3 linked regions of the Struthio camelus genome follow. The protein of the gene in region 2 purifies or fractionates together with the protein of the main gene of each other region. This does not show direct contact. Links are inferred from orthologs where the notes say so. Each region holds a gene or a part of one and is shown on either strand. Other genes may lie near its edges.

Region 1 (3,743 bases), on a different chromosome or scaffold from region 2:
GACCGCCCGCTGCACTCAGCTGCGGCCCCGCCAGCGCTGCGGGCGACACGCGGGCACCGCCGCGGCGCCGAGGCTCGCTCCCCGCTCGGGGCGCGCACGCTCGGCGTCACCCCGGCGCAGCCCCTTACCCCTTTGGGGTGGGTGACGTCCGTCTGCGTGAGCGCGTCCCTCTGCTCCGCCGGCCCCACGCCGGGAAGCGGCCGCTGGTTCTCCTGCCAGTCGCGCAGCTGCAGCGAGAGCGCCTCGATGATGATGAGGGTGCTCTCCAGCCGCCCCTCCAGCTCCGCTCGCGGCAGGGACTTCAGCTGCTCCCGGGGACAGCTAGGGAAGGAGAAACACCTGAGGGCCCGGCCCGGAGCAGGGGCACCCCGCGGGTGGGGTGGCCTGCCGATGGGGGGGGACCCTGGGACAGCGCATCCCTGCAGCTCCGTTGCTGCACAGGGACTTACTGCCAGAGCAGAGAGTCCGTTTCGGCAGCACTGTCCTTGGCACAAGCAGGCCCTTCTGCAGACGTGTTCGTGCTCCTCTCCAGCAGGTCCCGCGGAGTCATGAAGGTCCCGGTGGCCACGGCGGGCACAGGGGTGATGCTGGTACCGACGTCCTGCTGCAGCGTGGGCAGGGGCAGGCTGTGCCGCAGGGACTCCAGCAGAGACGAGGCGTTGAGGCTCTTCTCCAGCCACACCAGTGGCATCACCCAGGACACGGCACCTGGGGCCAGCTCAGGCGAGGGGACAGAGGTGGCCGCAGGCTCCGGCCCTGCAGGCTCCAACCCACCTGCCTTGGTGGGAGAGGGCCCAGGGGGGTCCTGCCCCGGCGGAGAGGTGGTCGGGGACGCAGATCCCCTGGAGGAGCCTTTGCAAGGTGGGGGACCAGCATCCCCGTCACTGTGCAGGGGCTCGGGTGCCGTGGGGCTGCAGGAGAGGTCAGTGGGCGTCGTGGGGCTGCAGGAGAGGTCGGCGGGCGCCACTCGCCACCCGTGGAAGGGGGCTTCCTGTGGGGTGGAGCTGGTGCCGGGGGGGCCCAGGGTGCAGGATGCTGGGGTGGTGCTGCCTGGGGAGCCCAGCGGGGTCCTGCCATGGGGCCTTGGGGTGCAGGACACTGTGGAGGGGCTGCCAGGGGGCTCTGAGGTGGCGTTACCAGGCAGCTCTGGGGTGCAGGGGCCTGCAGGGGTGCTCTCAGGGGGCTGCAGGGTGGCACTGCCAGGGGGCTCTGGGGTGCAGGACCCCGTGGGGGTGCTCTCAGGGGGCTCCAGGGTGGCACTGCCAGGGAGCTCTGGAGTGCAGGACCCCACAGGGATGCTCTCAGGGGGCTCCAGGGCCCTGGTGCTGCCAGGGGGCTCTGGGGTGCAGGACCCCACGGGGATGCTCTCAGGGGGCTCCAGGGCCCTGGTGCTGCCAGGGGGCTCTGGGGTGCAGGACCCCACGGGGATGCTCTCAGGGGGCTGCAGGGTGGCACTGCCAGAGGGCTCCAGGGTGGCACTACCAGGGGGCTCTGGGGTGCAGGGCCCCATGGGGATGCTCTCAGGGGGCTCCAGGGTGGCACTGCCAGGGGGCTCTAGGGTGCAGGACCCCGTGGGGGTGCTCTCAGGGGGCTCCAGGGTGGCACTGCCAGGGGGCTCTGGGGTGCAGGACCCCACGGGGGTGCTCTCAGGGGGCTCCAGGGTGGCACTGCCAGGGGGCTCTGGGGTGCAGGACCCCACGGGGGTGCTCTCAGGGGGCTCCAGGGTGGCACTGCCAGGGGGCTCTGGGGTGCAGGGCCCCACGGGGGTGCTCTCAGGGGGCTCCAGGGCCCTAGTGCTGCCGGGGGGCTGTGAGGTGCAGCACCCTGGGGCAGTGCTGCCAGCAGGCTCTGGGGTGGGGCTGCTGGGGGGCTCCAGGCTGCAGGGCCCCGGGGTGGGGCTGCCAGGGGGCTCCAGGGTGGCCCTGGTGCTGCTGGGGGGCTTTGGGGTGGCATTGCTGAGGGGCTCCGGGGTGCATGGCCCTGGGCTGGCACTGTCATGGTCCTGCAGGACACAGGGCAGGGGGATGTCAGCACTGCCCCTCCCCAGTTACCCCCCTCCAGCTGTTCCCCCAGTATCCCCAGTTCCCCACCCCAGTACCGCCAGCTGTCCCCTCCACCATCCCTAGCACCCCCCGCCATTGTCCCCTCCCCCAGGTCCCCCAGCACACCCTGCCACCCCCGGCTGTTACCCCCCCCGCAGCGCCCCCACCCCCAGCTGCCCCCCGTGTCGCCGGTCCCCCCCAGCACCGCGTACCTTGAGCCGCAGGCGGCGGAGCAGCGGCGTGAGGCAGGTGCGCTCGGCGCCCGGCTGCAGCCGCAGCTCCCGCAGCGGGGCGCGCCCGGGCCGCCGCGCCTGGGACACGGCCGTCACCGCGGGCACCGGGGCCGCCCGGGCCCCGGCCCCCGCGCACCCCCCCGCCCGCGGGGCCCTACGGGGCTGTACTGGGTCCGTGCACCGCGAGGCCTCACCGGCACCGCCGTCCCGGTACCGGGCTCCCCCACCCCCGCTCCCGGGGCCTCCCCTCCACCGCCGCACCGGCACCCCCCTCCCAGCCGGGGCCCACGCCGACCGCCACTCCGGGACGGGCCCTACCGGGGAGGACACCCCCCGACCGGGACCGGGACCCCCCCAACAGACCCCCGGCTCAGGACGCCGGGGCACTCACGGCGGGCGGCTGCGCAGCTCGCATGGCCCCGCTCGCTCGCTCCCTGCCTGCCGGTTCGGATCGGCTCGGTCTCGCCGCCGCCGCCGCCGCCGCTTCCCCGCGCGCCGCCGCCGGGCCCCGTTTGAAAACCACGCGCGGCTCCTATTGGCTGCGCCGCCCGCGCGTCACCGCGCCGGGGGCGGGGCCTAAGGCGGGGCCGCGGGGTAAGCCCCGCCCCGCGGCGCGTCGGGGCGGGGCGGAGGCGTTTGTACAGCGCCGAGCACCGGGCGGCCGACGGCGCGGCCGGGCCCCGCGGGCGGAGCGGCCGTGTCCTACCCGTGCGCGGCCCTCGCGACGCGCCTTCGCCCTCCCTCCGCTGCCCGCAGGGAGACGCCTGCTCCGGAGCATCCTGCTCTGGCCTCCCCTCCGGCGCGCCAGGCGACTCGACTCCGGGGCAGGGGGTGATGCCCGGCGGTCTCTGGTTTATTGCTCCCGCCGAGCGCGCGGAGAGGTACGGCGTTGGTGGGAAAGGGGGCACTGGCACGGCGGGGTCCGACCCGGTGCCGGAGGGGGGTTTTTCCCTGAGTGATGGCGAAGAGGGCCCAAGCGCCAGGCACGGCCTCCGGCTGGCAGGGCCCAAGCGCGGGCTCAGCCAGGCCAGGGCCGGCCCGCAGGGGCGGCGAGGTCGCAGTCGAAGTCGTCGAAGGTGACGGCGGCCTCGGGCAGGGGCTCCTCCACCGGCCGCGGGGCCACGGCCGCCTCCACGGGGTCCTTCTGCAGCAGCTCGGCGTCGAAGGCCATCCCCCGGAAGAAAGGGTGGCCCTGGAAGTGGTGGAGGTAGCGCAGGCGCCGCAGTGGGTTTCGGCACAGCAGCTGGGGACGGAGGACACTGAGCCACAGGGACCCCGGCGTCCGGGCCGGGGGGCCAGCGGGGACCCCGGCGTCCGGGCGGGCAGGGGTACCTCTGCGAGCAGCCGGGCCAGCGCCGAGCTGAGGGCACCCGGGCTCTCGTAGCTGCTGCAGTTGACGCGCTCCAGCATGGCCACGTGGTCCGGTGCTGGTGCCACCGGGAACTGGGGGGGGGGGGGGGGGCACGAG
Region 2 (3,743 bases):
CTAAAACATGTAAAAGTTCTGTCCTTATTTTAAATCTCCTATAAATGTTTCTCCAGTTCATCTTGGAGAGAAAAAAATACCATTTGTGTTTTGTGTTAAGTCTCTATGAACAATTCACGGAAGAGAAAAAGGATACTCCAGTGCACTATTCGGTTTCTCCGGCTCTTCATATAAGGCTACCAATACTGGAAAAAACAAAACATTCAGCAATTGCAAGCAGTACAATAAACTGAAATATTAGAGCATGTACCAACAGTCTGAAGACATACAAGTTGGAATTCCACATTTATAGAAAACTTGCCTTTAACAAGACTTTTACCTATTTCCTTTGACTGTATAAATAGATCTGCACAGGAAAGAACAGAGCATCGCATGCAATAACAGCTACTCAGAAATTGTGTCAATTCCCGTACCCATAGGCGTAGGCTATTTAGCTCAGAACACAGAAACGAACAGCCTGGACAAATGTGGCATTTTCCACGTGCAACCATAGCATTAGCTTTCATCACTAAAATGTGAATTCCAACTATTTTGAGACTCTTGCTTCAGAAATTATTATTTCTGTTTAGGCTACATCTTTGAAACGCAAGACATCGTCAGCACTTCTGTAACTTTCAGTATAAAAAGCAAATCTCAACTGAACATCTACCGTTAGACAACGAAATGGGTACTGTCAGAGTAGATGACGTTCATCACTCATAATCTTTATGGATCTGAGTTCTGTTGGACAATGCCAGGCAGGTCAGGCACAAGCATCGGTACCCTGATAAAACCAGCCATATACATACGCCAGCTCTGTATGTGGAACGCTCAGTCTCATGAATCATTAGAAAATTCCCAAATATACGCTTCCCCCAAACACACACATAGCCATAGACAATGTTTGCTTTTATAAATATTTTCTGAGCAATGTTTACATGGGACTTAGGTGTCCTTCGCCCAGCTTCTGATGTCCAAACTACAGAGCCACATTGGTTTCAACTAAGCACCTAAGTTAAAAATAAAAACAGAGTGCTATTGTTTGGAATATGTGTTTTGCTATCGCAGAGGATGCTTATTACCGTGATAGTAGAAGCACATCGACAAGAAATCAAGTACTGCATACGCTCTAGGCCAATAGTCTTAAACACAAAACCCATTTGCTTGACACACTAGATCTGTCCTCTTTAAAGAACATGCTTTTCAAGCAGGGATGTTAACAGACTTTGTCAACATACTATTTGAAGACTCTCAAAAAAAAAAAAAAAACTTAGCAGACATTGGGACCATACTGAAAGTCAGAACAGGCCTAAGGTTTAGCATAAATATTTGCCCTAAGTATCCAATACAGATACTTAGTCATTCAAGTTCACAAGATCTAGGAGGAGCTCCAAGCTTTACTCAAAAAAAAAGGATCTTTTTAAATAGCATGTTTTTAAGAGATCATTTTGTGTTTTGCCTCAAGCATTTACTTACTCCGGAGATTTGCGGCAGTATTAGAGCCCCCAAATGAGTCTGTTTCCAAGAACAAGCTCGGAGAGAAGCGCTCTGCCCGAGTGAGAGAGGTCCGCAACACAACAGACCAAGGAGAAGGAAACTGCCTTTATGCCACTCCGGTGCCTTTACCGTTCCCGTAGCGGCCGCCCCAGAGGCGGCAAACTGCCAGAAATGCAGCGGGCACACGAGAGTCGGTCGCGTCTGCCTCCCCCAGGACGCCCCGCCTCGGCGCCCAGCCCAGAGGCGGCTTCGCCGTCGCGCACGGCTCCAGAGGCCGCGCGGCGCGGGCAGGGCCGGGCCGGGTCGGGCCGGGCCCGCCGCCGCGGCCCAGGCCGGGCACTTACCCTTGGTGAGCGTGTCCAGCACCCCCGACTTCTCCAGGTAGCGGCGGAACTGCTCCCGCTTGGAGTCCGCGGCCTGGGGGCAAGGACGCGCACACGGTCAGAGCGGCATGCCGCCCTCGGCTCGGCTCGGCGGAGACCGTCGGGGCCCACCCGCCCGCTCAGTTCTTTCCTACCTTGTAATGCGCCATCGAGCCCACACAACGCCAAGCCCAGCTGCGCGCCTGCGCCCTCGGCCTTTACGGCGCGAGCGCTTCCCGGCGGTCACCATGGCGACGGGGCCCGCGGCGACGCCCCCGCCCTCCACCTCTGACTGACTCCGCCCGCCCGGCGCCGGCGCCAGCGTCAACGTCAGCGCCTGCCCCGGCCCCGGCCCCGGCCCCGGCCCCGGCCCCGCCCCCAGCCCCCAGCCCCCGGCCCCGGCCCCGGCCCCATCCCCGGCCCCAGCGCTGCGGGGCGGCTGCGGCTCCGGGCGCGCTGCGCTGTCGCGGCGGCAGCGCTGTGTCGGAGGCGCTGCCGCCGCGCTGGCCGTGCCTGAGGAAGCGCAGCCGCCTGGCTGCGGAGTCTCGCTCCGAGGGGCGCCGAAGAACCGCGGGCAGTGAAATCTTCCCGTCAAAGAGCAAAAGCAAGTCTGTCTATACAACAGGAACAATTACTTTCTTTTTTCCTTTTGTGAGACACAGTGATGCCTACTAATAAAAAATCCCGTTCTTACTGTCATCATAAAAAAGAACCCATCTAATAATCACACAACTGCAGTTTTAGTTTTTGGGTTTTTTTTCCCCCACCATTTTTTTGCACACTGTTCTGCAGTGACTTGAGTTTGCAGTGGAATAAAGGTGAAATTTCTTCTTGGCAAGGTACTGTGATGAAACAGAATTTTTGACACATGCCCACAAAAAAAGTAACACCCCCCCAGTGAACAGCAGGAAGAAAACAGATTATTTTGCATCTTGTCTTTAATCAACAGAAGTTTGAATGTCAAATGCTGTTTGTGAGCATCTGAATGCTAATGTTTCTATTATTTAGATAGTGGAAGAAAAGTGTATTAAATACTAGACTCTTTAAACAGGCACATTAAATGCAAAATATGCATTAGCACAAATTTATGTGCCCGCTGAAAATTTCACTCCAGAAAACGCAAAGTGTAAGCCTACATTAGCAGTATTAATTCTGATTGTCTCTAATTTTATTCAATTTAAATATTATCAGTTGTGATTTTAATCCTTGTATTTTGCTAGGCCTAAAGTTTTAACCTGGACTTCCCTGACTTTTCCTAATGTGTGGCTTTATATGATGTATGTTTTCCTCTTTAGCTGGAAGGATAATGAAGCTTATACACTGGAGTTTAAGTCATCTTTGTATTAAAAAATGTAAATACAGTTTAAAGATCACTTAGCTAGTAAGCAAAGGTGTACACAACTTGGTTATCTATGTGAAAGAGCTGGTTAAAGTTGAATAATTTAGCTACTCTTAGAAGTAGCTATTACTTATGTTGCAACGTCCAGTAATTCTCCCAGCATTGACTGGTGTCAGTTCACTTGCTAATTCACACTAAATTTGAAGATCAGTGGTGGCACGCCTGCTGCTGGCATTACTTGACAATGACATTCGCCTAGACAGAGGGACAGGCTGAGGACTATCACAGTTTCTGCTTTGTTTAGATTCTGAGCTCGCCTCCCCTATGGAGTCAGGAGTGTTTGGTCGGCTCAGGTTTTTTGGGTCAATTTTGGAAGTAGCGTGGCCTTTGCTTGCACTGAAACTGCTGAGTCTTCTGTTGCTGCTCTTTTGGAGAGAACGTGTTGAAGACCCTGCGCTCTCAGCCACTGCCGCGCAGTTCCGTGAGGTGCCGATTCCACGCTGTCTTTTTAAACTGTTAACAGGAAAGGTATCACATGAGGTTCGAGATGGCATTTCAGCAAAGCT
Region 3 (3,743 bases), on a different chromosome or scaffold from region 2:
GCTACTACCCTCAAAATTGTCCTTTCTGGCAGTTATATGAAAACCCTCATTTTTACTTTCAGTCAACAGAAACAAAGCCAGGGAAGGCTATGATTCAAGCTCTGATGTGGTCTGTATACAATAGTAACCAACTGGATAGGCTGGAGTTATAAGCCAAGCTGAGTACCATGGTAGCTCTGTATAAGCAGTATCAAACTTCTTTTTCCTAAGAGGCCCAGGTTTGCCAAGCAAGGAGCAGGTCTACTGGAAACAGAAGCAATCTCCCAGACATCTCTGTAGACAAGGAGCACAGAAACTAAGAGAAGTGAAAGGAAAGCCCTGATGACATCTGAGGCTCTAAGAAACAGGGAGCTAGGTAACCAGTAAGGGCATATAAAGGCTTTATGACAGGGAGCATGAGGCATAAACACTAGTGAGGAACTGAAGGGAAAGCTCAAACTTCTCCCCAAAAGATGTAAAAAGTCCATCACAATGCTGAACTGCAAACAATTGCCGGCACTGACACAGCTACCGTATTCACTTAAGAAATTAAAGCTAACAGATTCCTGCATGGGACAATTGCTTCTTCCATAGATTTAGATGGTAAGACTAGATGCTTTTGTGAGCTATCAAACTAGTGTCCAGTTACAGAGTTTCTTAGGAATTTTCCATTTTTCCCCCTCAGTCTAATAGTCACCTTCAGTACCAGAAGCATCCTCTAACATGCTCACAAATTTGTCTTCCCTTGTATTTGAGCCTTTTGTCACTATGATTCAGAGACCAGTTAGAGGAAAGGTAAATGGCTTTCATTAGGTCTGTTAGACTCAAGAGTGCCTTTATACACGAGGTCACTCAAAAAATAAGGTCATTAAATATGTCACAGAATGCAAACGTAGTTCTGGTATGCGAATAAACTGATAATATTAGAGCCATATAGCTGTCAGTTCCCCAAAAGCCCACTCCTTTTGTGTCTAGCTCCTAAAGTCACAATGGTCATCCACAGAGGTTTTTGCTCATGTACTGCTATCAAAGAAGCAGTTTATTTCTAAAAAGGTGAAGTTCCCATTGAAGAAATCTGGTCAGTACTTGCACAATTTCTAAGGCATGTGGCATTTCTAAGGCATCAATTGAAAAGCACCTGAAACCCCTCAGCATTAAAATGAACGCTCCCTCAAAGTAAAGGGGACCTAATTATAACTCAAGTAGCCAATCAGCAACTAGTTTTATAAACGCTTTCAACCAGTGCTGTCACCAAAAACAGAGCAGTTCCTGCCACTAGTGGTTCCTCTGCACCAACCACTGGTGCCGACAGAGTCAGCTCAGGAAACAGACTCAAGCTAAGAACTTTTTTTTTTTAATTTTTAAACCAAGATCATCGTTATGATTCAATTCACTGCCTGCCTGTACTAACACCTGGGCCAGCACCAGGGAGCGGGGGCACCACACGGTGGTGCACGACCGACCACCCTTACCCGCCTCACGCGTCCATGAAACCACCACCTTGAGGAGACCAGCTCTCGCCCACTTTCACGTGCCCCCTTCCCCATTCCAGACCCCGCTGATTAACCAAAACACTAATAACAATTAAACAAAATAATAATAACAATTAAACAAAATAAAAATCACTCCTTCCAGCCGGCAAATCTCGCTGGCGCGACCCATGGCGAGCCGGGGACAGGCACACTCCCCCCCCCCCCCAAAGGGCCTGCCACCAACAGCCTCCCCGCCCGCCGCAAGGGCAGCACCTTCCGCGGCCCGGCCCGGCCCGGCCGCCTTTGCCCCGGGAGCGGATCCGCCCGGGCTGGGCCCGCTCGGCCGCCGGTGCGGCCACACACACGCAGACGAGTTAGCCTCCCCCCTCAGCGGTTCCCCCCTCCGCAACGGCTACCGGGCGGGCCCCGCACCCCTCCCCCACCCGCTGACTGGCACTTACCGGAGGAGGGGCGGGCGGGCGCGCGCGCTCCCCCCTCCCCCCCCCGGACAACGGCTTGCGGGAGCGGGCGGCGGCACCGCCTCCTTCTGGCCTGGCAAGGGCCTCAGCGGCGGCGCAGGCACTTCAATCTCCCGCGGCGGTCGCTCTGCGATGATGCGGCCGCGGACCAACCCCGTCCCGGTCTCGCCCTCCCGCCTCGCCACTTCTCATCACTCTTCTACACACGCACACGAGTGCGCGCGCGCCCACACCGCTTTCCACCACCCCCCCCGCCCACGATTGGTTTGTCCCACCGGCCACACCTGTGCGGGTGGCTGTGGCTCGTACCATTTGTCGCAAAGGGGAGGAAGGAGACAGACTGTGAGAATCCCCAGATGCCCTAGGAGAAAGCGGCACGTGGCGTAAGCTTCCCCTAAGGATTTTTTTTTTCCGTTGGGTAACTTTAAGGAAGCGGGTGATGTCAAGGCGAGAGGCAGTCGCCCGCGCCTCCGCCCCCCCCCAACAGTGGGCTTGCAGTGGTACCGCCCAGGAGTGTGTCCCTTCCCCCCACAGGGCCGGTAGCGCGCTCGGCGGTGCCGGCAGCGGCGCCGGGGGTTGGGCACGCGGGGGGCGCGTGGGGCCGGGTTCAGAGCGAGGTGCGCGGTGTCGGGGCTTGTCCAACACCGGGCAGGTCCTGTCTGCCTAATTATGGGGATGCGGTTAACGCGCAGTTCAAAGTGCTGCTGTGCGATCCCCTCCCGGCCCCTCGGAGGCACCTGGTTCCGCGAACAGGAGTGGGGCTGGTTCTTTCCCCGATGTACTTTAACGCGTCTCCGAAATAGGCGGCCTGAGGCGCCGCGGCAGCTCCTCCACGCAACCAGGCCGAAAAAGTGGCGTGTCCTGTGCCCCTCCTTCCCTCCCCCCTGCCGCGGCCCCTCGACACGGACGAAGGAGCGAGGCTGCAAGTTTAATTTAAGATGCCTTTTCGTGCTTTGAAGGGAGGGCGTGAAAACCGCAGGCGCGGGATGGATCCCTTTTAACGCTGGTTGCGTGAAAAAGCCGTCTGAATTTGGCCTAGTTATAGCCGCCCCGGCGTGAGGAGGACCCAGCGCCGCGCGGGAGCTGCCGTTGGAGCCGCCCGCGGGGGGGCGCCGCGCGCCGCGGTCTCCCTAACGGCCGCCCGCGGGGGGAGGGGCGCGGGAGGCGGCAGGGGGCTCCCGCCGCCGGCCGCCCCCTGTGGCCCGGGCTCCTCAGGCGGTTTATTCCCCCCGGCACCGCCAGACGCTGTAGTTTAAATCAGGGGCGGCGGGTCGGGAGCATCAGCCGGAGTCGTGAGGAAACGAGGTCTGTGGCCGTCGCGGGCTCGGTGCGCCGCGCCGCCCGGCGGCCTGCGGGCGCAGGAGCGGTGCGGTAGGTAGAAGGCGGGCCGGGGAGCAGAGGGGGACAGCGGCGTTGGGAGCCGGGCCGTGGGGCTGAAAGGAAGGGGAAGGCAGGACAGGCGAGGCTGGGACCTGCCAGAGCGGGGGAGCTGAGGAGAGAGTCAGGCTGGGAGTGTGGCCCTGTCTCTAAAGATCGCGTTACCGTCTTGTAAATCAGAGCTAGCCCTTGTGCAGCCCAAAGGGCTTGAGTGTTTGGCCCTATGGCTCTGACTTCCTCTTGACATCTGTGTGAAGCTGTGATTGGATTAAAGTTTCATTTTTGGCTGTGGTACCAGTTTAAGCAGTGCCTTCACCACCGTCAGGACTCATTTTAACTCTCAGGTGATCAGCATCCTACAAATGATTGTGGGATGCAACAGGAAACATTTTAAAGAGGTTGTTTTTATGGATTTTTTTTTTTTTGACAATTACTT

What was found.
Region 1: the proteins of MYCBP (region 2) and SPAG5 purify together in Homo sapiens (co-immunoprecipitation; 3 studies listed by BioGRID and IntAct, with this or other methods). This does not show direct contact. The link is inferred for Struthio camelus from reciprocal best matches to the Homo sapiens genes MYCBP and SPAG5.
Region 3: the proteins of MYCBP (region 2) and OTUD4 purify together in Homo sapiens (co-immunoprecipitation; 3 studies listed by BioGRID and IntAct, with this or other methods). This does not show direct contact. The link is inferred for Struthio camelus from reciprocal best matches to the Homo sapiens genes MYCBP and OTUD4.

Annotation. Positions count from the first base shown.
Region 1 is NC_090957.1:16,565,972-16,569,714, forward strand, and holds the start of SPAG5 (sperm-associated antigen 5), read right to left. Parts: upstream 2,752-3,743; 5' UTR 2,691-2,751; coding exon 2,667-2,690; intron 2,354-2,666; coding exon 2,255-2,353; intron 2,003-2,254; coding exon 450-2,002; intron 322-449; coding exon 129-321; intron 1-128. Other genes in the region: RSKR (ribosomal protein S6 kinase-related protein), read right to left, coding at 3,294-3,518, 3,608-3,718. UniProt on the Homo sapiens protein: Essential component of the mitotic spindle required for normal chromosome segregation and progression into anaphase. Required for chromosome alignment, normal timing of sister chromatid segregation, and maintenance of spindle pole architecture.
Region 2 is NC_090964.1:11,590,781-11,594,523, forward strand, and holds the start of MYCBP (C-Myc-binding protein), read right to left. Parts: upstream 2,187-3,743; 5' UTR 2,009-2,186; coding exon 1,994-2,008; intron 1,894-1,993; coding exon 1,821-1,893; intron 186-1,820; coding exon 137-185; intron 1-136. Other genes in the region: GJA9 (gap junction alpha-9 protein), read right to left, coding at 3,372-3,743. UniProt on the Homo sapiens protein: May control the transcriptional activity of MYC. Stimulates the activation of E box-dependent transcription by MYC.
Region 3 is NC_090945.1:34,655,313-34,659,055, forward strand, and holds the start of OTUD4 (OTU domain-containing protein 4), read right to left. Parts: upstream 2,338-3,743; 5' UTR 2,240-2,337; exon of another isoform or gene 2,174-2,239; intron 2,136-2,173; exon of another isoform or gene 1,913-2,135; intron 1-1,912.